5 linked regions of the Oryctolagus cuniculus genome follow. The protein of the gene in region 3 purifies or fractionates together with the protein of the main gene of each other region. This does not show direct contact. Links are inferred from orthologs where the notes say so. Each region holds a gene or a part of one and is shown on either strand. Other genes may lie near its edges. The genes, in order: CKAP5, VASP, TACC3, ENAH and SLAIN2.

What was found.
Region 1: the proteins of TACC3 (region 3) and CKAP5 purify together in Homo sapiens (co-immunoprecipitation; 5 studies listed by BioGRID and IntAct, with this or other methods). This does not show direct contact. The link is inferred for Oryctolagus cuniculus from reciprocal best matches to the Homo sapiens genes TACC3 and CKAP5.
Region 2: the proteins of TACC3 (region 3) and VASP purify together in Homo sapiens (co-immunoprecipitation; 3 studies listed by BioGRID and IntAct, with this or other methods). This does not show direct contact. The link is inferred for Oryctolagus cuniculus from reciprocal best matches to the Homo sapiens genes TACC3 and VASP.
Region 4: the proteins of TACC3 (region 3) and ENAH purify together in Homo sapiens (co-immunoprecipitation; 3 studies listed by BioGRID and IntAct, with this or other methods). This does not show direct contact. The link is inferred for Oryctolagus cuniculus from reciprocal best matches to the Homo sapiens genes TACC3 and ENAH.
Region 5: the proteins of TACC3 (region 3) and SLAIN2 purify together in Homo sapiens (co-immunoprecipitation; 3 studies listed by BioGRID and IntAct, counting the BioPlex papers as one, with this or other methods). This does not show direct contact. The link is inferred for Oryctolagus cuniculus from reciprocal best matches to the Homo sapiens genes TACC3 and SLAIN2.

The regions. Positions count from the first base shown.
Region 1 is NC_091432.1:19,173,539-19,179,329, forward strand, and holds part of CKAP5 (cytoskeleton-associated protein 5), read left to right. Parts: intron 1-234; coding exon 235-323; intron 324-2,221; coding exon 2,222-2,347; intron 2,348-3,442; coding exon 3,443-3,592; intron 3,593-3,883; coding exon 3,884-4,087; intron 4,088-4,239; coding exon 4,240-4,375; intron 4,376-4,501; exon of another isoform or gene 4,502-4,612; intron 4,613-4,813; coding exon 4,814-5,007; intron 5,008-5,791. UniProt on the Homo sapiens protein: Binds to the plus end of microtubules and regulates microtubule dynamics and microtubule organization. Acts as a processive microtubule polymerase. Promotes cytoplasmic microtubule nucleation and elongation. Plays a major role in organizing spindle poles.
Region 2 is NC_091449.1:11,383,976-11,390,266, reverse strand, and holds the start of VASP (vasodilator-stimulated phosphoprotein), read left to right. Parts: upstream 1-2,777; 5' UTR 2,778-3,116; coding exon 3,117-3,121; intron 3,122-4,487; exon of another isoform or gene 4,488-4,659; intron 4,660-6,291. UniProt on the Homo sapiens protein: Ena/VASP proteins are actin-associated proteins involved in a range of processes dependent on cytoskeleton remodeling and cell polarity such as axon guidance, lamellipodial and filopodial dynamics, platelet activation and cell migration.
Region 3 is NC_091433.1:621,412-627,202, reverse strand, and holds the end of TACC3 (transforming acidic coiled-coil-containing protein 3), read right to left. Parts: intron 4,592-5,791; coding exon 4,539-4,591; intron 3,925-4,538; coding exon 3,815-3,924; intron 3,713-3,814; coding exon 3,598-3,712; intron 3,513-3,597; coding exon 3,408-3,512; intron 3,007-3,407; coding exon 2,930-3,006; intron 2,822-2,929; coding exon 2,778-2,821; intron 2,498-2,777; coding exon 2,337-2,497; intron 1,448-2,336; coding exon 1,341-1,447; intron 1,254-1,340; coding exon 1,133-1,253; intron 1,053-1,132; coding exon 987-1,052; 3' UTR 928-986; downstream 1-927. UniProt on the Homo sapiens protein: Plays a role in the microtubule-dependent coupling of the nucleus and the centrosome. Involved in the processes that regulate centrosome-mediated interkinetic nuclear migration (INM) of neural progenitors.
Region 4 is NC_091444.1:39,805,621-39,812,114, forward strand, and holds the start of ENAH (protein enabled homolog), read left to right. Parts: upstream 1-2,745; 5' UTR 2,746-3,155; coding exon 3,156-3,184; intron 3,185-6,494. UniProt on the Homo sapiens protein: Ena/VASP proteins are actin-associated proteins involved in a range of processes dependent on cytoskeleton remodeling and cell polarity such as axon guidance and lamellipodial and filopodial dynamics in migrating cells.
Region 5 is NC_091433.1:41,593,280-41,599,070, forward strand, and holds part of SLAIN2 (SLAIN motif-containing protein 2), read left to right. Parts: intron 1-4,482; coding exon 4,483-4,801; intron 4,802-5,791.

The sequences.
Region 1 (5,791 bases), on a different chromosome or scaffold from region 3:
TGTGGTGCAGCAGGTTAACGCCCTGGCATGAAGTGCCGGCATCCCATATGGGCACCTGTTTGAGACCCGGTTGGAAGAGAAAGATTAAGGAATAAAAATATGACTGAAAACACTTTGGAAATTGATACATATATGGCTAAAGGCTTTCTCATCATCTGTATATTTAACCACCCAGAGAATAGAGTGATGTTAGGTAAGAGTTCACATTTATAACACGTCCTTTTTTTCTTGAAGCGCCTGTTGAAGATGCTGTTTCCAACACTGTAGAACCCAAGCCTGATCCCAAAAAGGCCAAAGCTCCAGGAGTTTCCTCTAAAGTAAAGGTATGTTAGCTCTGCACACATAGATGTACATTTGCTTGTAGGTGTGTTTTGTACGCTGAGTCTTCCTACTAGGAAAGATCCTATTATATATGAAAGAATATCACCATTCTGGATAGTGTCAGATTATCAGGTTTCATCAAGTTTCTGCAGCTTATTTATAAAAATTCCCAAAAGAAACATCCTGCTCTCAAGAAATACTGTTTTAGTTCCTGTCACGCTTATCTCTGGGGAATATTTGCAGTAGTGAAAAGGGAAGGAAAGCATATAGGGATGGCAGAATAAATGCTTAATGCTGACTTGGATTTGAGCAAAGGAAGGTTATCAGCTTCCTTCAAATTTGACAGTTAAGTCATCCTACTAGAAGGTGTTCTGATTAGTCTGCAAGGAAATAACTTTTGTCCCTAAACCAGTGGGATTTATTTTGATGCGTTACCAATCCTGTCAATGTCTCAGACTGGTGTTCATATGGGATCCCAGTGTTGTATACCAGAACTGTGCTGCAAGTATGAAGACTAACTTGATCTCTTAAGTCCAAATAGGCATTTTGGTGTAACTCATTGAAATATCCCTTCCTCAAAGTGTTCCATCCTCTTTCTAAGGTGTCCACAACTTATTTTCTGGATAATTTAAAGAATTGTGTTCAAATGCTCAACTTTAAAAACCCCCTGAGTGATTTTTTAATTTAATTTGGGGAAGCACAGCAGATTGTCATAAGTTCTGAAATCAAGATTCTGAGTTGGTTGCTATATTCAGTGGAAAATTGTATAACTATATGATTAATAGTAACTCTAAATAGAGGAAACTATTTGATTAATTCTATGTAATTCAGGAAAACATAGAGGAGTAGGGACTTTTGTTAGCCAGTGCATGTGTTATTGCACCCCCATCAAAGGGTGGGCTCCCTTTACCTCATTGCATTCATTTTGGTGGATAATTATCTTCTAAACTATCCAATACATTGCTCTTTTCCTATCTTCCCTGTCCTCATTCCAAATTCTAACAAGTGCTTATTTTAGTGTTTTGATCACAAGTGCTCTGAAGTATTTTTGGCTACAAAAAATTTTCCAGTCTTTTGCAATATACAATGCAGTTTCACATAACTGATCTCATATTTGTTTTGACTGAATGACTTCAATGTTCCAACCAGAAAGAAATTCTAGCTAACTAGAAATGGTGAACTCTTGCAGCATTTGTAATAACCGTGATTCAATAATGAAATTCAAATTTTATTTCAAGGGTGCTGTTGTTCACATTTCCTTTCCTTCTGATAGAGATTCTAAGTCTTCAGCTATTTTTTAAAACTTAGTTACTTAAGTATTTTTGTTTCTAGCACCTTTCTCAAGAAACAGGTTCAAAAGGTATCCCATTGTACTGCTGTGAGGTACACTTAAATTTGGAGAGAAGCAGAAAAGCTTTCTCAGCTAAGTAATGCTAATATGTAAATGGTATTTGAAATGTCACTAATATGGAAAGTTACAGTGTTGAAAAAAGCTGGACTGGAAATGGAGCAGTCAGGCCTCGAACCGGTGCCCAATGAGATGCCAGCACCATAGGCTGCAGTTTAAGCTGCTGTGCCACAATGCCAACCCCCTGAATAAATCTTTAACAAGGAAAAGAAAGTAGTCTGTGATCCAGACTAATGCTATAAAATAGCAGCTTTTCCAGCTATATTGCATGCCAGTCCAAGAACTATCCAACAATTATTTAAGAATGACATTAGAAACATTTCTAGAAAAGCTGTATAAAAACATGATTAGATGCAAATTCTGTGACTGCTATTTCATGTGGCCTATGATGTAGAGGGTGGTAATTTCTAATGTGCCCTTTCAGTGGCAACAGTAGCATATTCCCCAGGAGAAATGATATAGCTAATCAGTATTCTCTGAATGGGATTGTAGAGTGCACAAGGAAAGAAAGTACCGAGCAAAACCAGCCTAAAGGAAGATGAAGACAAATCTGGGCCTATTTTTATTGTTGTTCCAAATGGAAAGGAGCAAAGGATGAAGGATGAAAAAGGATTGAAGGTAAGGAAGGGATACAGGTTTTCAAGAGTTTTTGCATGTTTTCATTTTGTTAAGCAAAGTTAATTTTGCTTTTTGAAAATCTTAATTGTGAAATATTTCATATTTATTATTGTGAAATATCTAGTAATTATCTGAATCTTTTGCTTATAAAAAGATTATTTTATGGAAGCATTAATTTCCTATTATAGAAACTACAGAATGGAACTATTTGCTTAATTTTTATCTAAATAAAAAAAAGTATTTAGTAGTTTTTGGTGTTTTATTTTTGTATTTTTTTAAATCAAAGAATGAAGATATCCATTGATTTTTTTTTTTTTAAATCAACTGAACATAAGTAATGGGCTGGCTTCTTTAATTTTTTTTTTTTAATAAAGGCTTTTATTTATTTGAAAGAGTCAGAGAGAGAGGGAGAGAAAGATCTATCTTCTGTCCACCAGTACACTCCCCAAATAGCCACAGTGGCTGGAGCTGGCCTGTTTCAAAGCCAGCAGTTTCTTCTGGGTCTCCCACAAGAGTGACAGGGGCCTAAGAGCTTGGTCATCTTCTGCTGATTTCCCAGGCACATTAGCAGGGAGCTGGATTGGAAATGGAGCAGCCAAGACTCAAACTGGTGTTCATATGGGATCCCAGTGTTGTAGGCAGCAGCTCTTACCCACTTCACCATGACACTGATCCCTAATCATTTGGTACATGGTGTCTTTTTTTTTTTTTTTTTTTAAGATTTATTTATTTATTTGAAAGAGTTAGAGAGAGAGAGGTCTTCCATCTGCTGGTTCACTCCCTAGATGACCGCAACAGCTGGAGCTTTGCCAATCCGAAGCCAGGAGCCAGGAGCTTCTTCCAGGTCTCTCACGTGGGTGCAGGGGCCCAAGGACTTGGACCATCTTCTACTGCTCTCCCAGGCCGTAGAAGAGAGCTGGATCAGAAGTAGAGCAGTCGGGACTTGATCTGGCACCCATATGGAATGCCGGCACCGCAGGCAGCGGCCTTACCCGCTACACCACAGCGCCGGCCCCTAAATAAGATTCTTTACCTCATTTCAATTGAACACATTATAACCTCTTTTTACTTTGTGTGTGCTGTTTTGTTTTTCAGGTGCTGAAGTGGAATTTTACTGCCCCTCGGGACGAATACATCGAGCAGCTAAAGACTCAGATGTCTAGTTGTGTGGCTAAATGGTTACAAGATGAGATGTTTCACTCAGACTTCCAGCATCATAACAAAGCCCTGGCCGTCATGGTTGATGTAAGTCTGTGTTAGATAAATATACACATCTCAGGCAAAACTGAAAATACTGAGCCTATGAAATAACAAGAAGTTTGCATGACTTGAAAAGGCTGTAGAATACACCATGTTCTCTGTTTTTACAGCTGTCTTAAATTATTTGATAGACTGTGTTTATATCTTTTAGTTCTTAATTGGAGACTTAAAAAAATCTTTTCTTTTTGCACTGCATTAAAATTTAAAGGTACTTTGCCTGATGGAACGTATGTTTTTATACACTCTTATTTGTGGGAGTTTTGTTTTGTTTTGAAGCACTTGGAGAGTGAAAAAGAAGGTGTCATTGGTTGCCTGGATCTCATCTTGAAATGGCTTACCCTACGGTTTTTTGACACCAATACAAGCGTCCTGATGAAAGCACTAGAATATTTAAAATTGCTCTTCACTCTGCTAAGTGAGGAGGAATATCATCTGACTGAGAATGAAGCCGCTTCCTTCATTCCCTATCTCATTCTCAAGGTAATTTGTTGTTCTCACTCCAGGGAACTGCTTAAACTTTCAGCTGACCTTACTTGTCCTAATACTCACCTTTCAAGATGTCGTAATGCCTAGGAGAGACCATTGCTACTCAGAAAAGGCTTCACTTAATCATTGTTTTTCTTGTTGGTTAGGTTGGAGAACCAAAGGATGTCATTCGTAAAGATGTTCGTGCCATCCTGAACCGGATGTGCCTTGTCTACCCAGCCAGCAAGATGTTCCCCTTCATCATGGAAGGAACCAAATCCAAAAACTCTAAGCAAAGAGCAGGTAAAGTAAACAATTTAAATTGAGACACAAATCCTTGCCACTGTGACCCCTGAAGAAATAGTTTGTAGATGAACAGGGACATCTCCTTGGTGTCTGTTTAATGGATTCCAACTTTCTGATTTAGACTGTGAGAGTGATGAGTTGCACACTGGTGGAGCCATAGTATCAGGTGATACAGGCACCACTCAGTACCACCCTGGTGACAAAATCAAGTGCACAGGGGCCATCTGACTCACAGGCATTCCTTTCTTTCAGGGACAGCACTTACTGTAACACCATTGTTTTGTTGCTTTGGCATTAAACACGAGAAAATTTTAGACTGAACCAGAATAAGATTTTAGTCCTTCATACAGGCCAAAGGAAATCTATCTAGCAAGGATAAACCTCTATGCCAAATGTGTGTTGAGTCTCATTAATCTAGCCTTTCTCCACCAACAGAGTGCCTGGAAGAGCTGGGGTGTCTGGTCGAGTCCTATGGCATGAATGTTTGCCAGCCAACCCCAGGAAAAGCCTTAAAGGAGATAGCTATTCACATAGGAGACCGTGACAATGCTGTACGCAATGCTGCCCTCAACACCATTGTAACTGTGTACAATGTACATGGGGATCAGGTGTTCAAACTGATTGGAAATGTGAGTGATTTTTCTTAGCATTTAGCATGTTGTGAAAAGAACTGCAAGATCTCTTAGGTGTCAGCTTTCCTGCCATCTCAACTGCAACTAAGATTTTAACCTCTGATAGCACACTCAGCCCAGCAGTGCATTGTAAAGTCCAGACAGAACTCTGGGGCGTCTTTGCCTGTTGTTGGACGTGGAGGCTGTGTTTACTGGACATGACATTTTCTTTTCCGGGCATTCTATTCATAGCAGTTTGCTTTAGATATGAATGCTATTTTTGAATCAAGAAATCTGAGCTAGTTTAGGGTTTAAATTCTGCCTGGCAATCTGCTCTGTAAATTTTTTTAAAGATTTATATATTATTTATTTGAAAGGCAGAGTTACAGAAAAGCAGAGGCAGAGAGAGAGATCTTCCACCCGCTGGTTCACTCCCCAGATGGCCACAATGGCCGGAGCTGTGCCGATCTGAAGCCAGGAGCCAGGATCCTCCTTGGAATCTCCCACGTGGGCTCAGGGGCCCAAGGACCTGGGCCATCCTCCGTTGCCTTCCCAGGCCATAACAGAGAGCTGGACTGCAAGTGGAGTAGCCGGAACTCAAACCGGCACCCATATGGGATGCTGGCACTGCAGGTGATGGCCTTCCCCGCTATGCCATAGCACCGGCCCCAGCTCTGTAATTTTTAATGTGTTTAATTTTCAGTTAGCAAGTACTCTTTTGTGCACTATGAATACTGGTGCCTATTAGAGCAAGACGATCTGGAGCACAGCAGACATTTGCCCTAGCGGTTAAGATTCTGGT
Region 2 (6,291 bases), on a different chromosome or scaffold from region 3:
CAGCAGCCGCAGTGGAATCAGGGACGGCTTCTCTGCACGGAGACACTGGGCACAGATCTTCCGAGGGTCCTGTATTTTTCGTACCCTACAACTCGGCTTGTTTTTAACCCCTAATACGCTGAAGACTTCTTCCATGAGGTCACTGACGTATCTCACTCTTGCAGTGCTGCCCAAGGTTCAGGCCAGGAAGTGCAAGGTCACCGTCCCCCCCTGCCTGCCCGCCCTCACCGGGCCCTGGCGCGGCCTGTGAATCCCACGTCTCTCCTGCAGGGGTCTCCTTACCTGGAGCTCCTAGTGCTGTTTACACTTTTAAAGTGTATTTATTAAAGCCGTGGCTCGGCTCACTAGGCTAATCCTCCACCTAGCGGCGCCGGCACACCGGGTTCTAGTCCCGGTCGGGGCGCCGGATTCTGTCCCGGTTGCCCCTCTTCCAGGCCAGCTCTCTGCTGTGGCCAGGGAGTGCAGTGGAGGATGGCCCAAGTACTTGGGCCCTGCACCCCATGGGAGACCAGGGGAAGCACCTGGCTCCTGCCATCGGATCAGTGCAGTGCGCAGGTCGTAGCGCGCCGGCCGCGGCAGCCATTGGAGGGTGAACCAACGGCAAAAAAAGGAAGACCTTTCTCTCTGTCTCTCTCTCACTGTCCACTCTGCCTGTCAAAAAAAAAAAAAAAAATGTATCTGAAAGGGAGAAGTGAGAGAGGCAGACAGGAATCTTCCATCCACTGGTTCACTCCTCAAATGCCCACAAAGGCCAGGGCTGGGCCAGGCTAAGGCGGGAGCCAGAGCTCCATCTGGGTCTCCCACGTGGGTGGCCATCACCTGCTGCTCTCCCAGGGCCACCGGCAGGGAGCTGCATGGGAAGTGGGGCTGCCCGGCACTGCAGGCAGCCCCTTAGCCCACTGCGTCGCAGTGCTGGCCCCTGGCCCCTGCTTTGTACAGCACTTGAGCTCAGAGCCCTGTTTAGGGGGCTGGTGCTGCCGCGCAGCGGGTTAGGTCACAGGTTCAAGCCCCGGCTGCTCCACTTCTGATCCAGCTCCCTGCTAATGAGCTTGGGAAAGCAGCTCCTGCAGCCATGTGGGAGACCCGGAAGAAGCTCCTGGCTCCTGATCGGCCCAGCTCTGGCCTAGCTCTGGCCGTTGTGGCTCTAAGGGGCGTGAACCAGCAGATGGATCTCTGTCTCTCCCTCTCTCTGTGACTCTACCTTTCAAAATAAATAAATAAATCTTAAAAGAATGTATATTTGTAAAGGGTAAAGAAAATGCAAGCCAGCCAGACCTTAGGTCTAATATGTCCATTTGGAGTGTTCTAGACAAAGTTTGTGGGGGCTGGCACTGCGGTCGCAGGTGCCGCCCGTGGCACTGGCATCCAATAGCGCCAGTTGGTGCAGCCTGTGGCGCCGGCACCCCCTATAGCGCCAGCTGCAGTCCCGGCTGCCCAGCTGCCCTACTCCCTGCTGACGCACCTGGGGAAGGACGTGGGCCCTGCCATCGGTGAGGGAGACCCAAGTGGCGTCCCTGGGCCCTCGCTCCAGCACTAGGACCATGTGAGGAGTGCATAGCACATGGAAGTTTCTCTCTCTGCCTTTTACAGGAAAAGCCCCCCTCCTGTAGTGCAGCTGGCCCCCCAGAACTGTCACCCCTCCCATTTCACAGGTGGAAAAATCGAGACGGAGGCCTTGCCCAAGGTCATGGAGAACTGAGGGCTGGGCTCGGGGAGGCCCAGAAATCGCGACACCCTCGCTGGACCGGGGTTCCAGGTCTCCCCGAGCGGGTGGCTCACGCAGGCCGGCGACTGGTCCCGGGACGAGGATCCCCCAGGTGCGGGGCACACGCGGCCGCACGCTGCGCCCCCCAGTTTTGGGGTTCTACTCCCCGTGCCTCGGCTTTCGGGGTTCTGGGGGCTCGGACAAGAGGACCCCCAGACTTACCCCCGATCCGAGCCTGGGCTCACCCACTCGGAAAGTCCGGGCTGCGACTTCCCGGGGCCCGCACCTTACCCCGGGCCAGGTGGCTCGGGGCGGGAGGGGGCGTGACACGTGACGTCACGGGGCGGGGCCGCTGCGGAAGCCGGGGGGGGGGGTCGGTGCTCCTCGGGGCCGGCGTGTGGGGGAGGGTCCCCCGGCCGCGGGCCCACCCGACCGCTGGGATCACGCCGTCCTCCGTGGGAGGCCCCACCGGGGCGCGCCTCGGGCCGGGGTCCCACCCCCCACCCTGCCCTCGGGCAATCCCCGCCCCCATCCCGACCCCGCGGCCGTGAGTCAGCGGCCGGCCGCGCCCCCTCGGCCCACTTCCTCCTCACCTTCCCGGGCCGGCGGGGGGCAGGGAGACGGGTGGGGCCCCGCGCGGGGGAGGGGGCTCGCCCCTCCGGGACCCCTCGTCAGTCTGCGGAGGAGGGGGACGCAGTGTGTGTGTGTGTTAGTGGTGGCAGCGGGCGTCCGAGTGGGGGGATTTAAAGGGGAAGTTTGGGCACCTCCCCGTGTTCTCCCCCTGAAGTCCAGCAGGACGTTGGGAATGGACGCGTCGGTGGGCGCCGCGACCCCGCCGAGACGCCCCGAGACCCCCGTGGCGGGAGGGCGCTGGGGTCGCGGAGGGCGCCCTTCCCTGCACCCCCACCCCAGCGGGCTCGCCCCCTCCTTCCGCGGGCTCGGGGGTGACGCCCAGGGTGCAGCCCCCGCGCAGGGCCGCCGCGGACAGCGAGATTGGGGAAGTGCGGGGCTCGCGCGCGGCCCTTTCCGGCGCCCGCTGCCGCCGCCCCCCGCCCGCGGGCGCCGCGGCCCCTTTAAGGCGCGAGGCATTGTGGGAGCGGGGAGTGGAATTTTGGAAGGAAATGTAGCGAAGAGAAGTACAGTAGTAAGAGTGAGGTGGTGGCGGCCGCCGGCCGAGGGGGCGCGCCGGGGACGCACGCCGCACCCCCCGCACCGAGCCCCCAGGCGGAGGCGGCGCCCGAGAAGCCGCCCCGGCCCGGCGCCCGTTCCCCCCAGGAAGCCGGACTCTATGGGGCGGGACCCCGGGGGACACTGAGCGGAACCCGGCGCCGGCCGCGAACCCCCGCAGCTCGAGCCAGGGGCGCCCCGGGAGCGCCGAGCCCGCGGGCGCGCCGCCGCCCGCCCCGCAGCCATGAGGTGAGCCCCGCGCGGCCTCCGGACCCCTCCCCGCCGGCCCGCCTTTGTCCCCCTCCCCCCGCTCGGCCCGGGCTGGACTTCGGGGACCCGCGCCCTGGGGGGGGGGCTCGGGTCTGGGCCGAATCGTCTCGGACGAGCTCGGAGCAGCGGCCGCCTCCCCGTGACCCGCGAGCCCCGGGGTGGGCGCGGGCAGGTTCTCCTGGGAGCCTTCAGGTTTGGGGGCGCTCGGCAGACTCCCGAATTTTTTTAGAGACTTTTTCTGAGGACCTCCAAGTTGGCAGAGACTCCTCGCGGGGATGCCGGGGTGCAGGCGGCTCTCAGGACCCGCCCAGACCGCACCTGGGGGGGTCCTGGAGGGGTGGCTGGGGGCCGTTCGGGGAGACCTGGGACCTGGAGCGGACGCTGAGACGCGGATCCTGATTGGGAGGGTCCCCCGTTCCAAGTCTCCCCAAGTGGGGCGGGCCGCGCTCCTAACTTCGGGGTGCCGCTAACCCCCTAAATCCGGGGGTGCGCTGGGATCCTCCCCGGGGTGCGCGGACCCTCGGGCCGGGCGCAGCCTCGCGGGGCTGCTCGGGGCTCCCCTCCCCCGTCGCTCCACCGCGCATGCTGTGCAGGAGCCAGGCCGTGCCTAGGACGGGGCGAGCGCTCGCCGCTCGGTGCCCAGGGCGGCTCCCGGCGCCGGGCCAGCAGGGCGGCCCCGGTCCCCACCTGCGCGGCCCCGGGCGGGGAGGGGGCGCGGCAGCTGGGGGGAGGGGGCCTTTGTCTTCCTGACTCACCTGTCGAGACAGCTGGTGTGGGGGGGCGGGCTCGCCCCGCCGCGGCCCCTCCCCCCCGGCGCTCGGGAGCCGTGGGATTGGAGGAAGGGGCGCGGGGAAGCGTCAAGGTCACAGCCTTCGCCCCCTGGGACCCAGGCCTCCCGAGAGTTCGGCGCTCTTCCCAGGAATTTAATCCTGGGGGGGAGCGGCCCGAGGACCTGCCCTGGACTCCTGGGCTCACCTGAAGGCCGGGCCGGTGCGGGCTGGGGGGGTACCCACGGCGGCCCTCCCCGCTCCCCGCTCAGGTCCCCCATAACCTCTCCCGTGGGGCTGGAGTCTGACAATACTATCTCCCTTCCTCCACTCTCTCTGGGACTTCCTGCCCCGAAGCCTCAGCGCTGGGGGTGGGGGGGCTCCTGGGGACGGCTGGGGATTAACCCCCTGGTGCCCAACGTCCTGCCCTTCCCCCCGGGCCCCCACACCCCTGCCCTCTGACCTCAGGGTGGCATTCCTTTCTTGGGACCATTAAAGACCCCCTACCACCCGCCCCAGGGCTGTCTTTCTGCTAAAGGCTGGGTGGAAATTCTGGGGCGAGGGGGCATCCCCAGACACCCTGGGGACTTCCTGCCGGTTCCTTCCCCATTGCGGGGCAACATCCCTTCTGGGCCTGCCCCAGGGGCTGCCTGCTTCCCTCACCCTCTCCCCCCTCCCCCGGGACTCCGCCCCTCCCCCCCAGCGTTTCCGGTCCCAGGCCCCGTGGAAGGCGGATGGCGGATGTCCGAGGTAGGGCCGCCCCGCTCGCTGTGAGACCGACCGTAAAAGGGCAGGAGCAGTGTCTGGCCCAGCCCCCTGCCCCCGCCACCCCCAGCCCTGGCCCTCTCCCAGGGCCCCCTCCCGCTGTGGCTGTGGCCGTGGTGGGGCCTCCTACCTCCTGGGGGATGGCAGGAGTCCGACCCTGGCCTGTCCCACCAGAGGGTCTCCCCTGCTCGCTTACAGCCGACTTCCTCTCCGACGGTCCACGCCCCCAATCCCGGCCAAGGAGCCGGATCCTGCAGAAATTCCCAGGCCAGGGCGCCCCGGGGCAGGAGGCTGGGAGGGTCGGATTGCTGGCCACGGCTTGGCCGGGGGCAGCTCAGCTGGAAGGGATGGAAAATCACAAGACCAGTTCTTTCTCTCCTCTGACAAATATTTGTTGAGTGGGACCCGGCGCTGGGATCCTGGGGGAGGTGGAGAAGGGGCGGGAGCCGCTGGGAAGAGGGGCTATGCCTTAGCGGGGTAGCAGCTATAACTGCTCTTACTCGAGAGGCGACGGGAGACCAGCTGGTGAGCACCTGCCCGGTGTGGCCAGCCTGTCCCGGCTCCGAGCCGGCGTCCTGGCACAGTTTCAAGAGGCGGAAGCTGTTACAGCCTTGTAGTCACCCCTGCCCCCAGTTTGCAGCCGGCCGACCTCTTAGGCTGTCGCAGAGAGAGGACAGTACAGAGAAAGTGCGGATGACGCGTTTTCCTTGCACAGACACGCGGGATGGTCCAGAGGTGTGGTGGGGGCCTGCCTGGGAAGCCTCGCCTGCCGACTTCCCAGTGGGAGACAGGCCGCACAACCCCCAGAGACCCCCGGGCTGGGGGGCTGGGCCGGGGCCGGGGCTCCGGGTCGCAGGGCTCTGGCCTGGAAGAATTTGTGTGATTGTGGTGTCTGAGCGGGTGACCCCCAGAGGCGACTCATGGGCAGGGGGACCGAGGCGCTCACTGACAGACCCCAGGGGACCACTGGCGTCCCTCTCCCTGGCTTCCTGCCTGTGGGGTTTCCCGTCCGGCTTTTGCTGAGTTTATTTATTTTTTCCCAAACGTAATCAAGTAAGGAATTAGGTCTCCACAGGTCATCCCAGCCCCATCATTTAGCAAAAGGAAGAGTGAAGCGAGGGCCCCGTGCCCACGGCCCCCAGCCCCCAGCCTGCCTCCGCCTCCCGCCACAGCGTGTGACGCTGTTAGCAGCCTCCACACTTTTGGGGGAAAGACAGACTCTTGAGCCACCCAGCCTTTTCCTCATCTTTCCGTGAGGTTAAAACGTAAGTGGGCTTGGAGTAAGTGGGCTCGCGTCTTAAATGAGATCAGACAGGAGCCCCGGTGCTTTCGTGCAGTGTGACCTGGGCCAAGTGTCTTCACCTCTCTGTGCCCGGGCAGGCAGCGGGGTTGGTCTCCTGAGGCTGTGGGGTCGTGGGAGCCGGGAGCGCGGTCTGGGCCGCCAGCCACTGTGCCGCCGGGTTTGCCTTTTTACTCGGATGTGTTCAGAGCGTGTGCTAGGCGCCCTCCAGGTTCCGGGGACGCAGTGGTGCGCAGAGGGGCGAGTATCCCTGCCCCGCTGGACCTGGTGCTTTGGCAAGGCAGACAGGCGCGTGCCAAGCAGGGACGCTGCTGGAA
Region 3 (5,791 bases):
GGGACCGGGGGCTGAGGGGGAAGGGGAGAGGCCTGAGGCCTGGGCAGGGTCCTCCCAGCACAGCTGCCAACAGCTCGGCTCCTGTCCCCGCTCAGGCCGAGCGCCTGCTGCTGGCGGCTCGGCTGTCCCGAGCTCCTGGCCCACTCCTGCCTCCTGGCAGCCACCAGATGACCCCGTCCCCGCGCCACGGCCTCCGGAGGCAGCAGGGTCACCGTGGGGCTGTGAGGCACGTCCAGGGCCCCTCCCAGTGCCGGGCCCTCACCACGGCCATCAAAGCCTGCTGTGGCCCACGGTCCCTCCCCAGGCTGCGTGGACAGCGAAGCCCCCGCTGGCCTCGCCCATTTCACTGGCCGCTGCCTTTGCCTGCTTCTTGGGGATGTGGGGTCCAGGCCGGCAGCACCAGCCCCCAGCACAGGGCGAAGGCCCGTTCTCAGCCTCGCCCCGGCCAAGGGGAGTCAGGGCTGAGCCGCCACCTGCTGGGAAGGGCTCCTGGGGCTGCCGAGCCCCCTGCACCTGTCCCTGGGGCTCAGCGGAACCCCCTCAGTGCCCCCAGGAGCAGGGCTGCTCCGGGGTGAGGCACGAGTGGGGGCCTTGTCTGCAGCCAGCCCCGACTATCACTCGGAGACGCTGCCGCTTGTCTACACTGGGCTTTGGGCAGCAGTTCTACCTCCTGCTTCTCTGGGGACAGCAGAGAGCCGGGCCGCGCTGGGGGCAGGGGCGGCCACGGGGCTGCTTCTGCAGGGACACACTGCTCTGGGTCCTCCCCGCCACCCAAGTGCCGCACGCGCTGGCCGCCGGGTGCCGTGGCCGCACCATGTCCAGCGTCTGGGGCTCCCCTGGCCTCCCGGGGCCACCAGCTTGCCCTGCCCGCCCAGCGGTGCCCTCACTGCTGGGGACACTGCACAGTCCAGACGGCGACAGCCCACGGCAGCCTAAGGGGAACTTTATTCAGCAGCCAAAGAGAGCGGCTGAAAGCAGCAGCGAGCTCAGATCTTCTCCATCTTGGAGATGAGGTCGTCGCAGATCCGCGTCAGCTCCTCGTTCTCCTTCACCTGGGAGGAGGGAAGCGGCCGTGGCTGGGGGCGGGTGGCGGCTGGGGGCGGCTGGGGGCGGCCGGGGGCCCGGGCCTCACCTTCTGCTCCACGGTCTTCTCCAGCGACTGGATCTGCATCTGCGCCTTCCTCATGCTCGCCTGGAAGGCCAGGGCCTCCGCCTGGGCCTTGCTGCGGACCTGGGCGATCTCCTCGCTCGCCCTGGGCGGACAGAGGGCAGCGGCTGAGCCCCGCCCTTCCGCCTGGCCCCGCCCTTCCACCCGCCCCCCCCCCCCCCCCAGCACTCACAGCTTGAGCTTCTCCTCCGCGTGGGCCTTCAGCGCCTGGTACCTCTGGGCCTCCTTCTCCACCCGCGCCGCGTAGTCCTCCACGCACTTCTTCAGCGACTCCTCGTTCTGGGGGGAGCACCCACAGCTGCCCTCTCTCACGCCACCCAGCCACCCCTGCGAGCTGACAAGGGGTGAGGCAAGGCCTGCCTGGTGCCTGGGCACGGTAGAGGGGACGGGCTGCAGGCTGGCAGTTGACACCAGCATGGTGGCCCTGGCGTGGGAGCCGCCTCCCCCCAGGCTCAGCAGGGCCCAGCGCCTGCCACCCGAGCTCCCCTGGCTGCCCCGCCCACTGCACCGACACTGACACGCTCGCCTCTGCACAGGTGCTGCCCCTCGCTGGCTGGGAAGTCGCCACTGTGCGCAGCGGGCGTCCCCGCGGGGGTCCCCTCCCCGCCACCTGCTGCCCGCAGCCATGGGCAGCACCCGGTTCCACGCCCCCTGACCCGAGCTCCTCCCTGCCCCCGGCGTCCAGCCCAGCGCTGCCTCTGCACACAGGACAGTGGCTTCTCAGTGCGCCCGTGGAGCTCCCCAGCACGGGCACGGGCACGGGCACGGGCGAGGCAAGGGAGGCAGCGTCTCCGGGGCAGACGGCCCTGTCGGAGAGGCCCTGTCTCCGGCCCCCGCCAGGACAGCCGATAGCGCGTCACGTGCCGACAGGGCTGGGGGCTGCTGCGGCCCCTGGGGGTGTCTCCTGCCCGGCTCTGTGCTCACGACCCTCCCCGACGCGCTCTGCAGAGCTGCCCCCATGGAGTACCCGCTTTACTTCTGTGGGCGGCTGGGGACCAGCCACTGGCCTGAGGATGGAGACAGGCGGCTCACCCTGACCCCAGGCACCCACGGAGGCCCCCAGGCCAGCGGTCAGCCTCGCTGTCCTTGCAGTCGGCAGAGCCGCCCCCGCGCTGCGGCCCCCCGGGCACGGCTGCCCCAGGCCGGGCCGAGGAGCGGGCAGCCCTACCTTGCGGTAGCCGCCGATCACCTCCTTCTGCTTCTCGAAGCGCTTGAAGAGGTCGGAGAAGGACTTCTCCGTGGAGCTCAGGTCCGCGGCGAGCTGCTCCCTGTCCTTCAGGACCTTCTGCACTTCCGCTCTGGCAGCCTCCTTCTGCCTCTGGACCTCCTCTGCAGAGCGAGCAGCCGGGTCGGGGCGCCGGCATGCCAGGCACCAGGGCGCTGGCAAGCGCGGGCCCGCCAGATGGCCCTCCCACCGCATGGGCCAGGCCGGCACGGGGCCAGCGGACACCCGCCCTCACGCAGTCCCACAGGGGCGAGTGCAGCGGCCCGAGCCCGGCCACCACAGGGGCTGCTGGACGCACTCAGCCGGTGGGGACAGGACGGGGCCCAGCACAGCTCTGCCCAGAGCCCCGTGGCCGTGGGCGGACGAGGCACGCGGGGCACTTACCCATCGCCTGGTACACGATCCCCTCAAACCCGTCCATGATCTTCCTGCGGGGGAGGGCGGTCAGTGCTGCGCCGCGGCGGCCCCGGGCCCCGTCAGCCCCGCCGGCCCCACGAGCCCCGGGCCCCGCCAGCCCCGCCGGCCCGCGGCCTTACCCCATCTCCAGGTTCTTGGTGTGGAGCTCCTCACACCGGCTCCTCAGCTCCAGGTTCTCCTGCTGTGCCGCCTGCACCTGGGAATCACACACACGCGGGAGCTGCACGCCCCGCCCCTCCCCACAGCAACGTCAGGAGTCACGGGCTCCACGGGGCTTCAGGGGACCCCGGGGGCCCTGGCCAGGCCGAGGCCACCTGCCTCACATGCCTCACACGCTGGATCGTGACACCCGCCACGGCACAGCCCAGCAGAGGCCCCGCAGCGCCCATCCTCCCGGTGTGCCCGTCAGCCCCACGTGACTCTAGCCGGGCACACCAGGTGCCAACGGCCGAGGCCCTGCGTGTCTGAGGGCAGAGGCTGGGGTCCTAACCCAGAGGATGGTGCAGATGGACTTACACCAGGCCCCACTGCCACCTGCTCAGGTGTGCCCCGCGGCTGCGCCCGCCCCGCCAAGCCCCAGGGCGGCCTGCCCCTTACTGCGGCGTCCAGGTCTCGCTGGCTGTACCGCAGCACGTCCACGATGGGCCCCACGGGCAGGGGTGGACAGCTGGGCTCCAGGATACACAGGGGTTGGGCCGGCACCTGCAGGGATGAGAGACGCGTCACAAGGCTCTCAGCCTCGCCTCCTCCCACCCAGCACCAGCGAGCAGCCCCCACCGTCAGCGACCTGCGGCTCCAGGGGGCCCGACGCGCTCACAGGGACAGGCAGGGCTCCCCCGAGGTCCAGGTCCACGAGCAGCGTGTCCAGGGGGCCCCCCGAGGGCTCAGCGGCGACCTGCGTGCTGGGGGCCGAGGAGCGAGGCGGCTGGGTCAGCCCACACGCGTCTGCTCGCACGGGGCCCCCCGTGCTGCTGCCCGCCCGCCCCTGTCCACCCTGCCCGCACCTGTCCGCCTCAGCGGCCGTGGCCAGCGGCACGAGTCGCACAGGACTGTCTCTCAGGAGAGGATCGAACTTCAGGTACAGGGACTGCTTCCTCAGGGCCGACTCCTTGAACTGGGGGAGGCGGGGCACTCAGCGGGTTCCACGCGGCCCGGGGACGCCCCAGCGCGCCCTCCGCCCTGGCCACACCGGACAGCCCCGGCAGCACAGGGAGGGCTGGAGCACGGGCGTGGCCAGGGTGCTGCGGGACACACACGGGGGGGGGGGGGGGGGGCGTGGCCAGGGTGCCGCGGGACACACACGGGGGGGCGTGGCCAGGGTACCGCGGGACACACACGGGGGGGCGTGGCCAGGGTGCCGCGGGACACACACGGGGGGGCGTGGCCAGGGTGCCGCGGGACACACACTGGGGGGGGCGTGGCCAGGGTGCCGCGGGACACACACGGGGGGGCGTGGCCAGGGTGCCGCGGGACACACACGGGGGGGCGTGGCCAGGGTGCCGCGGGACACACACGGGGGGGCGTGGCCAGGGTGCCGCGGGACACACACTGGGGGGGCGTGGCCAGGGTGCCGCGGGACACACACTGGGGGGGGCGTGGCCAGGGTGCCGCGGGACACACACGGGGGGCGTGGCCAGGGTGCCGCGGGACACACACGGGGGGGGCGTGGCCAGGGTGTCGCGGGACACACACTGGGGGGGCGTGGCCAGGGTGCCGCGGGACACTCACCGAGGAGGTCCCGAACTGCTCCAGGTAATCGATCTCGGCCCCCGTGCCTAGGACTGAGGGGCAGAGGTCAGGGGGCCCGGCTGGGCCCTGGGAGCCAACCCTCCTCCCGCCCTCCGCCCAGCCCGGCACCAGAGCTTTGGCCCACGGCTCAGGCCTCTGCCACTTGGGAGCCGACTGCTCTCACGGGGCGGGGGCACCGAGCGCGGCACCCGAGGCACTGCTGGGGTGAGCGCCCGTCTACAGCTGTTCCAGAACAAACACCTGTCACGTCATCCGAGGCTGGAAAACCTCGAGGGGCCTAAACCCTTCACAAAATCAACTTATCGGGGCCGGCGCTCTGATGTAGCAGATAAAGCCCCAGCCTGCAGGGCCGGCATCCCACATGGGCGCCGGTTCGAGTCCCGGCTGCTCCACTTCCCACCCAGCTCTCTGCTGTGGCCTGGGAAGGCAGTGGAAGATGCCCAAGTGCTTGGGTCCTGCACCCACGTGCGAGACCTGGAAAAAGCTCCTGGCTCCTGTTTCTACCTGGCCCAGCTCCGGCTGCTGTGGCCATCTGGGGACTGACCCAGCGGATGGAGGACCTCTGTCACTCAGCCTCTCGAGTAAGTAAACGAGTCTCTGAGGAGGGAGACAAGTGGGATGGCACCCACACCAGGAGCTCCTGCGGGGGCCGGGGTGCAGACCACCGACTCCAGAAACGGCACCGTGCCTCCCGGTGTGCAGCACCGGCCATCAGGGACTGCCGAGGACAACGCGTGCACACATTCCGTGCGAGCGCCCCTCTCCCCGGGCGTTCAGCCAGCAGGCGATGACCACGGAGAAACCGACGCCACATCGCTCTGCACACGGTGCACAGATGGCCCCAGGACAGCAGACCAAGGCTCTGCCCACAAACACACACAGACAGACAGACACGGCTCTGCACACGCACACACACACACACACAGATACTGTTCTGTGCACGCGCACACAGACAGCTCTGCACACACACACACACACACACACAAGGACACGGCTCTGCACACACACACACAGACATGGCTCTGCACATTCACGCACAGATGGCCCTGGAGCATGCGACGCCCACGTGTGTCAGGGAGGGGCAGCTGCACCACAGGCAGCCCCGCCACACCACTGGGCCGGTGCAGGGACGTGGGGACGCAGCACTGTGAAGGCCCCCAGCCCTCAGGAGGGAGGCAGTCGCCCCCAGCCCGGGCGCGGGCAGGACAGGCAGGGCGCGGGGCTGCCCAGGG
Region 4 (6,494 bases), on a different chromosome or scaffold from region 3:
AGAGGGAGAGACAGAGTGAGCACTTCCATCTGTTGATTCACTCTCCAGATGGCTGCAGTGGCTGGAGCTGGACCGATCTGAAGCCAGGAGCCAGGAACAACTTCTGGGTCTCCCATGTAGGTGCAGGTGCCCAAGGCCCTGGGCCATATTATGCTTTCCCAGGCGCGTTAACAGGGAACTGGATTGGAAGTGGAGCAACCGGGACTAGAACTGGTGCTCATATGGAATGCTGGCGTTGTAGGTGGCGGCTTTACCTGATGCACCACAGCACCATCTCCAAATTTGTCACTTTTTATTTATTTATTTATTTATTTGAGAGGTAGAGTTACAGACAGTAAGAGGGAGAGATGGAGAGAAAGGTCTTCTGTCCTTTGGTTCACTCTCCAAATGGCTGCAATGGCTGGAGTTTCGCCAAATTGAAGCCTGGAGCCAGGTGCTTCTTTGTTTGTCTTGGTTTAGAAGTCTTAAAATTTCATGCCAGTCCATCAGTCTTCATAGTTTCTGTCTATGGTGTCCTGTGTTCCCAACCTAAAATTCACATATATATTCACCTACATTCTCTTTTATTACACTTATAGTTTCATTAAACTGAAGCCATCTGAAAGTGGAAGATGGAAATATAGTGTCATTTTTAAAGATTTATTTATTTATTTGAAAGGCAGAGATACAACAGAGAGAGAGAGAGGTCTTCCATCTGCTGGTTCACTTAATTGGTGGCCATGGCTGGAGCTGGGCTGATCCTAAGCCAGGAGCCAGGAGCTTCTTCCAAGTCTCCCATGCAGATTCAGGGACCCAGCGACTTTGGCCATCTTCTACTGCTTTCCCAGGCCATAAACAGAAAGCTAGATCAGAAGAGGAGCAGCTGGGACTTGAACCAGTGCTCATGAGGGATGTTGGCACTGCAGGCAGCAGCTTCACCTGCTATGCCACAGCGCCAGCCCCTGAAGTTTAGTGTCTGTGAAGTATTTGGTCATGATTTCATCATGTAAGGAGTCTTTATTTTCTGAAAATAATTGGTAAAGAACAGGGAATGTAGAATGAAGTGACCTAGAACATTTCAGAGATAATAGTGCACAGAAGGGGTAGAGAGAGAATGTTTTATTTGGATTTAATCTTTAAAAGTGCAACAAAATTATGAAAACATTTGTGTTATAGTTGTGACTGTGTCTAAAATTCTTAAGAGTAGAAGAAGAATGAATCAAGTGTGGGTTGCTTTAAGAATATTTTTGCATAATTTTTCTGGCAAAATTTGAAGGCAGCATGAAACTATATATTGTTCATGTTATTATGGACTTTTGCTGTATGATAAAGTCCTTTTTGCCAAAATGGTCACAAGGGCTTTATTAGTTTTCCTAGATGCTTTCCTTTGATTTTTCAAATCATTTTCTTTTGAGGGGCTAGTATTCTCTGTTGGTCTTCTGCAATCATTTACATGCTTGCAGCTGCAAGTAACAGATGTAAGGTTCTTTTTTTTTTTTTTTTTTTTTTTTTTTTTTTGACAGGCAGAGTGGACAGGCAGAGAGAGACAGAGAGAAAGGTCTTCCGTTTGCCATTGGTTCACCCTCCAATGGCTGCCGTGGCTGGCGCACTGTGCTGATCCGAAGGCAGGAGCCAGGTGCTTCTCCTGGTCTCCCATGGGGTGCAGGGCCCAAGCACTTGGGCCATCCTCCACTGCCTTCCCGGGCCACAGCAGAGAGCTGGCCTGGAAGAGGGGCAACCGGGACAGAATCTGGCGCCCCAACCGGGACTAGAACCTGGTGTGCCGGCGCCGCTAGGCAGAGAAGATTAGCCTATTGAGCCGTGGCGCCGGCCAGATGTAAGGTTCTTAAACATTAAGACAGTTTATCTCATATGGTTGGGAGTCCAGAGATGGGGTACATTCCAGACACAGCTGAGTCAGTGGCTCACTGGTGTCTCAGGCCCCTGGTGGTTCAGCCATTGTGCTCTCTGCCTCATGTTGATAGTGGGGTAGTGTGGTGGAATGAGAAGGCCATGCCAAGATGGCTGCTGGCAAGTGAGTGTCAGTTACTCAGGAATGGCTTCGAAACCCACCTGGCAACAGAGCCTGCCTGGCAACAGGCTGTGATTGGATGGCTTTGGAAACCACATGGCAATGGAGCCTGCCCCACTAGCTCTGGTCAGCCACTGGAACAGCCCACAGCCTGTGTTCAGTCATGCCATTCCTGATAACCATTGTTCCTCATTCCTACCCCCATCTGAGCAAGCACTCCTGTGGTCTCCTGTTTTGAGCGCTGGTTAGTCAATGATGGGTAAGATCCCCTGGGGGACAACCTAAGACAGGCACAGCCGCGTACGGAGACCACGTGGAAACGGGGTCAACAATGGTATGGCCAAGAATCATGCCTCCCGTTGCTCGAAAATAAATGAAAAGGGGGAAATGTGTGGAATGAGAAGGCCATGCCAAGATGGCCACTGGCAAGCAAGTGTCAGTTACTCAGGAATGGCTTTGAAACCCACCTGGCAACGGAGCCTGCCTGGCAACAGGCTGTGATTGGTTAGGGCATAAACCACCCCTTGACCAGATTGGCTGCCTTGGCTATTTAAGCTGCTGTACCCCAATGAGTCTGTGGGCTGCTCGCCTCTGGCCCCCTTTCACCTGACTCCCAGGGTCTATGTGGTGACTCCGCGCCTCTTGCCCCCACCACACTCCTCTCAGAAGGAATCCATAGCAGCAGGGTAGGCCATAGGATTGCTAGTCTCATATCCAGACCCAGTAATTCTTGGAGGAAGAAGGCTCATCTTTACTCATTTTCCTTTATGTGACCCCTTAAGGTATAATTTACAAACAGCTGAATGCACAAATCACAAGTGTACATTCGGCTTGGTAAATTTTTATTATGTGTACACATCTGATACGGAACATACTTATACCCTGTGAAGTTCCCTCGTGCCCCCTTTACTCAGTATCCTTCTCAGATCTTTACTTTTGTCAGTGGCTTTGCTATTGGTTAGAAATATTTTTCATCATTTTCAGTGACATCATAAAGGCATGCCTCTCTGAAAGGTTTACACTTAAACTTTGTAGGTGATTTGCATTGTGTTGTTTTGGGATTGAAATAGCTGCCTATCAGTGAGAGACTGACAGGGCAGACGTGAAGTGAACTGAAGTGAAGGCTAATGCTGCCTTGGAAGGGATGTTTGCTGGGGACTCATTATCTACATGGTTAGTTCATTATTTCATATTTTTATGTTAGGATTACTTTTGCTTCCCTGGTAACTTCTGGAGTCTGACAATGAGCTGTTGTGTTAAGATCCTTGTGTCTACCTATTTTATTTTATATAACATTTTTTACATATATGTTGTTTGGAATTCTCTATTTTACTGATCTGTTATCCCAATCCAGTCTGGTAACTGTGCTACAGTCGGAGAGAGCTTCTTGAAATTCAGGTTTGATCAGTGCAGCCTCATGTCTGAAACACTTCAGTGGCTTGTGATGCTCTTAGAATTGAGGTGAAGTTTCAGTTTATCATAGCCTAAGTCTTGATGATTCTTACTTTGTGAATCCAGTGTTAATAACATGGCTCAATAAGTTAAATCCTCAAAAACCATTACAGAGGTGGGCATTTGGCTTAGTAGTTTAAATGTGACTTGGTGCACGCATCCCATATCTGAATGCCTGGGTTCTAGTTCCAGTTCCGATTCTGATCCCAGCTTTCTGCTAATGTGCACCCTGGGAGGCAGCAAGTGATGGCTCAAGAGGTTGAGTCCCTGCCACCCATGTGTGAGACCTGGATTGATTCTCAGCTCTTGGCTTTGACCTGGCCCAGATGTGGCTGTTCTGGGCATTTGGGAAGTGAACCAGTGTGTATGGAAGCCCTCTGTCTCTATTTTTCTCTCTCTCTGCCTCTCAAAAGGATAAATAAGTAAAAATGACAAAAAATTAAAGGATAAGCTAGAAGGAAAAGAACATTGTTAATACAATTATTGTAAGTAAGTAAAGGAAAGAAAGTTGTGCAGAGACATGACCCATTTCCTTAGGCTTACAGTTTAGTGGGGGAGGATGTAATCGGTTTTCAAGAGTTGTGGCAGGGGCCAGCGCTATGGCGTAATGGGTAAAGCTGCTGCCTGCAGTGCTGGCATCCCATATGGACACCGGTTCGAGTCCCGGCTGCTCCACTTCCGATCCAGCTCTCTACTATGGCCTGGGAAAGCAGTAGAAGATGGCCCAAGTCCTTGGGCTCCTGCATCCACGTGGGAAACCCGGAAGAGGTTCCTGGCTTCGGATTGACGTAGCTCCAGCAGTTATGGCCAATTGGGGAGTGAACCAGTGGATGGAAGACCTACCTCTCTCTCTCTCTCTCCCTTTCCCTCTCCCTCCCTCCCCCCTTCTCTCTCTGTGTAACTCTGACTTTCAAAGTAAATCTTTTTTTTTTTTTTAAAGATATTAAGCCATGAGGATTCTGCTCACAAGTATGTATTAAAGCTGTTTAAAAAAATAAAAGAATTGTGGAGAGCAGTACATAGTACCATGAGGGAAGAGAGCATTTCATACATTTGTGGTTGATTCTCTTCTGAGTAATGTCATTCTTACCATATTTTAAATTTTTCTTAAAATATCCTCTAGTACTTATGTCACTTAGTAGATTTCCAGTGTTTTTTTAACAATCTAACTTTTAAAAAAGTTAAAATTTTAATTGATATCATAACTTTATGGAATACGGGGTGTTGGCTTTAATAAATGTACAGCATACAATGCAAATGATTAAATCGGTCTGATTAGCATGTCTGCCACCTCATTTGGTGGTACATTTGAAATTTTGTTAAAGTATACAGTGCATCATTTTTGACTATATTTACCATGGTGTGCAGTAGATCTCATGCTGTTATTTTGTATTGCTTTTGTGAATTACTATTTTGTTCTCCTTTAAGGAAAAGCTCTCTGAATGTTATCTTCCTTCTGGATATGAAAATTTTTTGAGGCATTTTCATTTTGGGGGAAGATCGTGTAATAGAATCAGAGTCGTTCTGCTCACTGCCTCTGAGGCCTTGACTTTCCTGAACCTCCATTTCTTTCTCTGCAGAATGGGACTAATAATTCATTGTCTTATTTTGAGACTTGTCATTTGTTGAGAGGATTTATGGATTTGGTGTATTCTACTTGTTTTCTTTTTGTCATACCATATGTATTTTTTAAAAATACAGTTCAGGCTCCTGAATATTAAGCAAGCATCTGTTTAGTTTTTAGAGTTTCTCTATTTTATTTTATTTTATTTTTTTTTTTTTTTTTAATTTTTTTTACAGGCAGAGTGGACAGTGAGAGAGAGAGACAGAGAGAAAGGTCTTCCTTTGCCGTTGGTTCACCCTCCAATGGCCGCTGCGGCAGGCGCGCTGCGGCCGGCGCACCGCGCTGATCCGATGGCAGGAGCCAGGAGCTTTTCCTGGTCTCCAATGGGGTGCAGGGCCCAAGGACTTGGGCCATCCTCCACTGCACTCCCGGGCCACAGCAGAGAGCTGGCCTGGAAGAGGGGCAACCGGGACAGACTCCGGCGCCCCAACCGGGACTAGAACCCGGTGTGCCGGCGCCGCTAGGCGGAGGATTAGCCTAGTGAGCCGTGGCGCCGGCGAGTTTCTCTATTTTAAAAATTAAGAATGAACCTTTAAGTTAGAAACAGGTCCCCTGACTGTAGACAAATTATTTGCATCCCTAGGAACATGTCCTCCTTCTCCTCAATGACTGCCTTACTTCTTTCATTGTACTTTCTGTTTTTGTTTGTTTGTTTGTTTTTAACGATTTATTTATTTGAAAGAGTTAGAACTTCCATTCACTGACTTACTCCCCAGCCAGGGCTGGGCCAGGCCAGAGCCAGGAACCAGAAGGTTCATTTGGGTCTCCATGTGCGTCTAGAAGCCCAAGCACTTGGGCTGTCTTCCATTGCTTTCCCAAGCCATTGGAAGTGCAGCAGCCAGGGAATGAACATCATAGCATTAAAGGCTATGGCTTTACCTGCTGTGCCCTGACTTGGCCTCAGAAGGATTTGTTTATTGTTTCCCAAAGATAGAGATGGGCTTTTTGTCTTCTTAAGTGTGTTGACTGTATTCTGTGGAAAGCTGGCTTCACTGAGCTCCCCTCCAGGGAACTTCAGTTTTCTCTTCTAGTTTATCTTTGGTTGTCCCTCCAGACTGTCTTTCTCCATTGAACTTACAGCGTCTGTTGGCCATCAGCTCATTTGACACATCAGACTTAATTTTCTCTCAAAAAATGAAGTGTAAGCTCATTTTACTCAGGGCACATTTTCCTGAGCACTTTCTGTTATGTTGAGTATAATCAGAGACTTCAATAACTTTTTTGAATACATTAATAACAGTTAAACCCAAGATTGTTGATTTAGGCTTTCTCCTTTTAATTTGTTAGCTAAGAATAAATATTGGACGGTACGCTGAACAAGTTTGTATTCTATACAATATATTTTTATACCCCTTTAATAAAGTTAGAGGTACGAATAAGTGATGAAGAATGGCATAACATTTAGAT
Region 5 (5,791 bases), about 41 Mb from region 3:
TTCCAAGTTATTTATTTGTTTTCAGAAATTTGGGGTAGGTGTTTGGACTACCAGTTAAGACATCATAGTGCAGTGGGTTAAGGCACAGCTGACATCCCATATTGGCTGGCTGGAATTCCACTTCCAATCCAGATTTGCTGAATTTGCTGATGTGCATGGGAAGACAGCGGAAGATGTCCACATACTTGGGCCCCTCCCACCCACATGGGAGGCCAGGATGGAGTTTCTGGTTCCTGGCTTCAACCTGGCCCAGGCTTGGCTCTTGTGGCCATTTGGGGTGCGAGGGAGGAAGAGAGGGAAGAAAGGAAGAATAATCTACCTGTCTCTGCCTTTCAAATAGATATAGATATCTTAACAAACGAGGAAAGAAGAAAGAAGATAAAAGAAAAGAAGAGAAAGAAGGAAAAATCATTGCACATCAGAGTGCTTGGGTTCACTACCTATGTCCACTCTTGAGTCTGCCTTCCCACAGTTACAGACTCTGGGAGGCAAGGGTAATGGCTCAAGAAATTGGGTTCCTGCTGCCCACACGGAAAACCTGGATTGAATTCCCCTTTTCTGGCTTTGGCCTGGCTCACTCCCAGCCACTGTGGGCAGCTCTCTGTCTGTTAAATGAATTTGAAACAAAAAAAAATTTTTTTAAGAACTTTAATCATGATGTTCCTTGGTGTAGTTTTCCCTGCTTTGTTTTTTTGACCCTGCTTAGGGTTTTTCTCCAGCTACTTAGATATATAATTTTCTAGTTTTCATTAAGATTGGAAGTTTTTAAGCCATTGTTTCTTCGAAAAAAAAAAAAAAGGTTTTTTAGACCCACTCATTACCATTCCATCCTAAAATCTGGGACTATATCAGATCACAAAATACTGGCCTAAAGACCATTGAGGTTTTATCTTTTTGTTTTGTTGAGTCTTCTCCTCTGAATCCTTTAGTTTAGATCATGAGTCTTAATGTCGTCAGATGCTTTTTCTGCAGCATCTAAACTGCCATTCCTGTCCAGTGAATTTAGCGTTTTGGGTACATTGTAGCATTACGTCTTTAAATGTTCTACCCAGTTCTTTTCTCTCCTCAGTGCTTGCATCTGTGTATTTTTGAGCATATATAATAATTCTTTTGAAATCCTTGCCTGTTTCTATTGACTAATTTTTCTCCTGATGTTTTATATTATGTCCTTGCCTCTTTAGTATAGTAGACATCGTAGAATTTTCCATTGCTCTTTGCTGAATTTTCTCTCCTTTTAAATAGCAGTTGAACTTTGTTGTGGCAAGCAATTAAGTTATCCATGAATTAGTTTGAACCTTTATACGTGGGATCAATGACTGTTTTCTTAAGGACCAGATAGTAAATATGTTAGGCTTATGGAGTGGTATGATCTTTATTGCAACTACTTAACTCTGTCATTGTAACTTGAAAGCAGCCATAAACAATATATAAGTGAATGGATCTTACTATATTCTAATAAAACTTTATTTACAAAACAGCTCACTTCTCCATGGGTGATAATTTACTGACCTCTGCTTTAGAAACTTTTTTTTTAAGATTTTTTATTAGGCCGGCGCCACGGCTCACTAGGCTAATCCTCTGCCTTGCGGCGCCAGCACACTGGGTTCTAGTCCCAGTCGGGGCACTGGATTCTGTCCCAGTTGCCCCTCTTCCAGGCCAGCTCTCTGCTGTGGCCAGGGAGTGCAGTGGAGGATGGCCCAAGTGCTTGGGCCCTGTACCCCATGGGAGACCAGGAGAAGTACCTGGCTCCTGCCATCGGATCAGCGCGGTGCGCTGGCCGCGGCAGCCATTGGAGGGTGAACCAACGGCAAATGAAGACCTTTCTCTCTGTCTCTCTCTCTCTCACTGTCCACTCTGCCTGTCCAAAAAAAAAAGATTTTTTATTTTATTTGAAAAGCAGAGTTACAGAGAGGCAGAAAGAGAGGGAGAGCGAGCGAGCGAGAAAGAGGTCTTCAGTACACTAGTTCACCCCCCAAATGACCGCAATGGCCAGAGCTGAGCCAGTCCAAAGCCAGGAACCAGGAGCTTCTTCCAGGTCTCCCACATGGGTGCAAGGGACCAAGCACTTGGGCCATCTTCCACTATTTCCCCAGGCCATAGCCAAGAGCTGGATTGGAAGTGGAGCAGCCGGGACGTGAGCTGGCGCCCATATGGGATGCCAGCACTGCAGGCAGCGGCTTTAACCTCTACACCATGGCACCAGCCACTAGAAGCTTATTTTTAAGCTTTATTAGAACGACTTTAGAGTAGCCTTTATTCTAGGGTTAGTTTATCCTCCTATTAAGACTTGGCCCTCTTTAAGTGTATGCTGGATGTTTGGCAAGGACATTCTACTCTGTGGTTGAAACTCAAATGTGTCGTAATTCTGTGTGAGCTTTGGCAGCTCTTCAGTTTCCAAAGGTTCCATTCTCCTTTCTCCCAGGCTCATAGAGCCTTATCCTGAACATAGGTAACTCAATACTCAGCCAAAGATTCAAGCAGAGCCCTAAGCTAAGTTCTGTAGGTGTTCTGAGCAGCTCTCACCTCTAAAATATCCTGCCCTTCAAATTCCGATTGTTGTCTCCTTAATGCAGCCTGGTAGCTTTGATCTTCATGGGATTCCCCTCTCTGCTCTTAAAGCAAAGTGTTCCTGGACCCCCTATACTCTTCCCAAAAAGCCAGGGTTGATGATAGGGCTCAAGCAATTTGTTTCCCTTCTTTCAGGAATTATAGCCCTGTACTACCTGTTGTCCGGTATTTAAGAAATGCTGTTTGTATTTTGTCTACATTTATAGATGTTTACAGCAAGAGAGCAAATATCTCTCCAGTTTCACTGTCATGACTAGAAGATCCAATAGTGATTTTAAAATAAATACATAGCTAAGTTCCATTTCAGACTGGTTTCTCCAGGAGTGGTAGCTGGGCCCTCATATTTGTATAAACTCCTTGGGATTCTGATGTACAGTCAAGTTTTAAAGTCATGGCTGGGAGTGTTAGACCCCAGCAGAGATGATCTGAGTATATATTTTAAACATGATGTTGCTGATATTTAGAACTTTGATTAGACAGAGGGTAGATAAGATCAGCTAGGAGAGAAAAGAGCTATGTACAAAAAATACTGAAAAGGAGGTAGGAGATTAATTTCTCTTGTCTTGAACCTAAAGCTAGCATCCTCTTCTTTTTCCAAAGACCAGATGACAATGGCAGCCAAACTCATCCATCCTTTCTTTTACCTGCTATTGTGATAGACCTTACTGTCACTTATGTCCTGTACATGGATTGGTAAAAGTGAGGAAAAGGAAATTTTAGAGAATAATCCATCTCTATGGTCTTGGGACCAAATCTCTTGTCCATGCTTTCCCTCCAGTTGTATCTTCCTTAAACTAATGTGGGTTGTATGAAATGGATGTTCTCTTTGATGTCTTGTTTTGGCTTAAAAATGAATGCAAATTGTGCATTTTACTCTCTCATATATCAATATTTGTTTTAATATAAAAATGTAAGGTAGATGTTGTGGCAGCCAAGAATATGCACGTCTGCTTGGGACACCCACATCTCATATTGGAGTGCCTACCTTCGATTCCAATCCAGTTTCCTTGCTAAGGTGCCTCAGAGGCAGCAGATGCTGGCCCAAGTAGTTGGCTCCCTGGATATGGGAGACCTGGATGCAGTGCCTGGCTTCAGATTGGCCCTGCTCTAGCTGCTGTGGAAATTTGGAGAGTGAACCAGCAGATGGGAGAGATTTCACTCTCTCCCTCTGTCTGTCTTCCTCTCCCTCCCTTCCTTCCTCCTTCTGTCACTTTGCCTTTCAAATTAATTAAAAAAAAATTTTTAATTGTTTTACCTAGTAAAATTGACATTCTAAAAAAACAGATATCTTTGTCCTGTGACTTCATTTACCTCTTGATATACCCCTAGATTTATAACTTTCCTGTTTTGTAATGCACAGCTATATGAGCAATTGTGTGGGTTTTTTTTTTATATAATTTTTGGTTTCTTACACATTTTTAGTCTCGTGGTGATTTGAGACATGGAGGTACGGTCACCAGATACTTGATTCATGCATATGTGAATGTTTCTTTGAGGGGAAAATGTGTTTCAAATTCTATGTAACAATCTGGTATCCAGCCTTTTTGTCACCTCTAGAGCATTCACTAGGTTAGTTGTAACCATGAGGAAGAATCCTGTATGCATTTTATCTTTTAATATGCCTTTTATCTTCTGGTATTTTGGGATCCAGTCTGGCCTAGTTAAAACACTGTTGTCAAGGACAGTTACAACTCTCCAATTAAGGACTTGGTTTTGTAGAACTTACCAGTTACCAGTTACCTTTTTCCTTTTATTAGGATAGAAATATCCTTTATTTGCTGTGTTTCTACAACATAATGTTTCATGAATACAGATGTACTAGTGCCTAGTCATCAGGTGTAACATAAAACAGAAGTTTCACTTACACTTGGTCTTTGGTTGAAACACTGGTTTTTTTTCTTTGCCGTTCCGCAGTACCTTCTCCAGGGAAATTTCGCTCCCCTGCAGCACCATCTCCTTTGGCTCTCCGGCAACCAGTGAAAGCCTTTAGTAACCATGGCTCTGGCTCTCCTGGTAGCCAAGAAACAACACAGCTCACACAAACCACCTCTTCACCTGGGCCTCCCATGGTTCAGAACACAGTCCCAGCAAATCCTCCCAGCAATATCAACAGCACCACCCTAACCAGACCTGCAGGGACAACTGCAATGAGAAGTGGCTTGCCCAGACCCAGTGCCCCTTCTGCTGGGGGTATACCAGTGCCTCGCAGCAAACTTGCACAACCTGTTCGCAGGTAAGTGGGGTGCTCTGTTTTGGCATTCTTAAGTGTCTGAAAGTAGGTGGACTGGAAGTAGCCTTGTTTCTTGTTGATAGTGAGCAGAGAGTCATAGTAGCTTCCCACTTGAGTCTCAGCACAGTTTGAATAAAACCTCACTTCACTGTATTAAAGATACCCTTATTGGGATATTATACCAATATGGTTCAGATTACATTTGTCCCAGTGCCTTACTGATGAAGCATCTCAGAGAATTCCTAGAAAAGGCTGTTAGAATCATTCAGTTTGGTTGTGATATTTGAATATGATATTCAGTAAAGATAATGAAAACATATTTGAATCTAGAGTGATATTTAAGATAAAACTCCTTTCTTCCAACTCTGAGTGCAATCTATAAGGGTGATTTTCAAACCTGCTATAACAGAATTATCTGTGGAATTTGTGTAGAAGTAGAAGCCTGAGTTTTACCTTCAGAGTCTGTAGCTCTGGTGTGAAACCCAAAATCTGTGGCTGTGCTATCTCTTGTTTGTTTATTTTTCAGGTGATTCTGAGCTCAACCAAGACAGGAATCATGCCTCTGTAATCTTTTTTTTTTTTTTTTTTTTAAGAGAGGCAGAGGCAAAAAGATCTTCCACCTACTGGTTCACTCCCCAAATGGCCACAATGGCCAGAGCTGAGCCAGTCAATCCAAAGCCAGGAGCCAGGAGCTCTTCCAGGACTCCCACGTGGATACGTGGGTGCAGGGGCCCAAGGCCATCTTCTACTGCTTTCCCAAGCCGTAGCAGAGAGCTGGATTGGAAATAGAGCAGCCGGCACTCATATGATGGCAGCTTTACCTGCTACACCTCAGCATTGGCTCCTGCATCTAGTCTTAATCTACCTTTCAAGAACAGGATTACCACCATCAGTAAATTTAGGTGTCAAGTATAGTTAAGCTTGAAATACTTATTTGCTTGGAAACAGTATTTGTCCCCTAAGCATTTAAACTGAATTACCCATACTACTTAA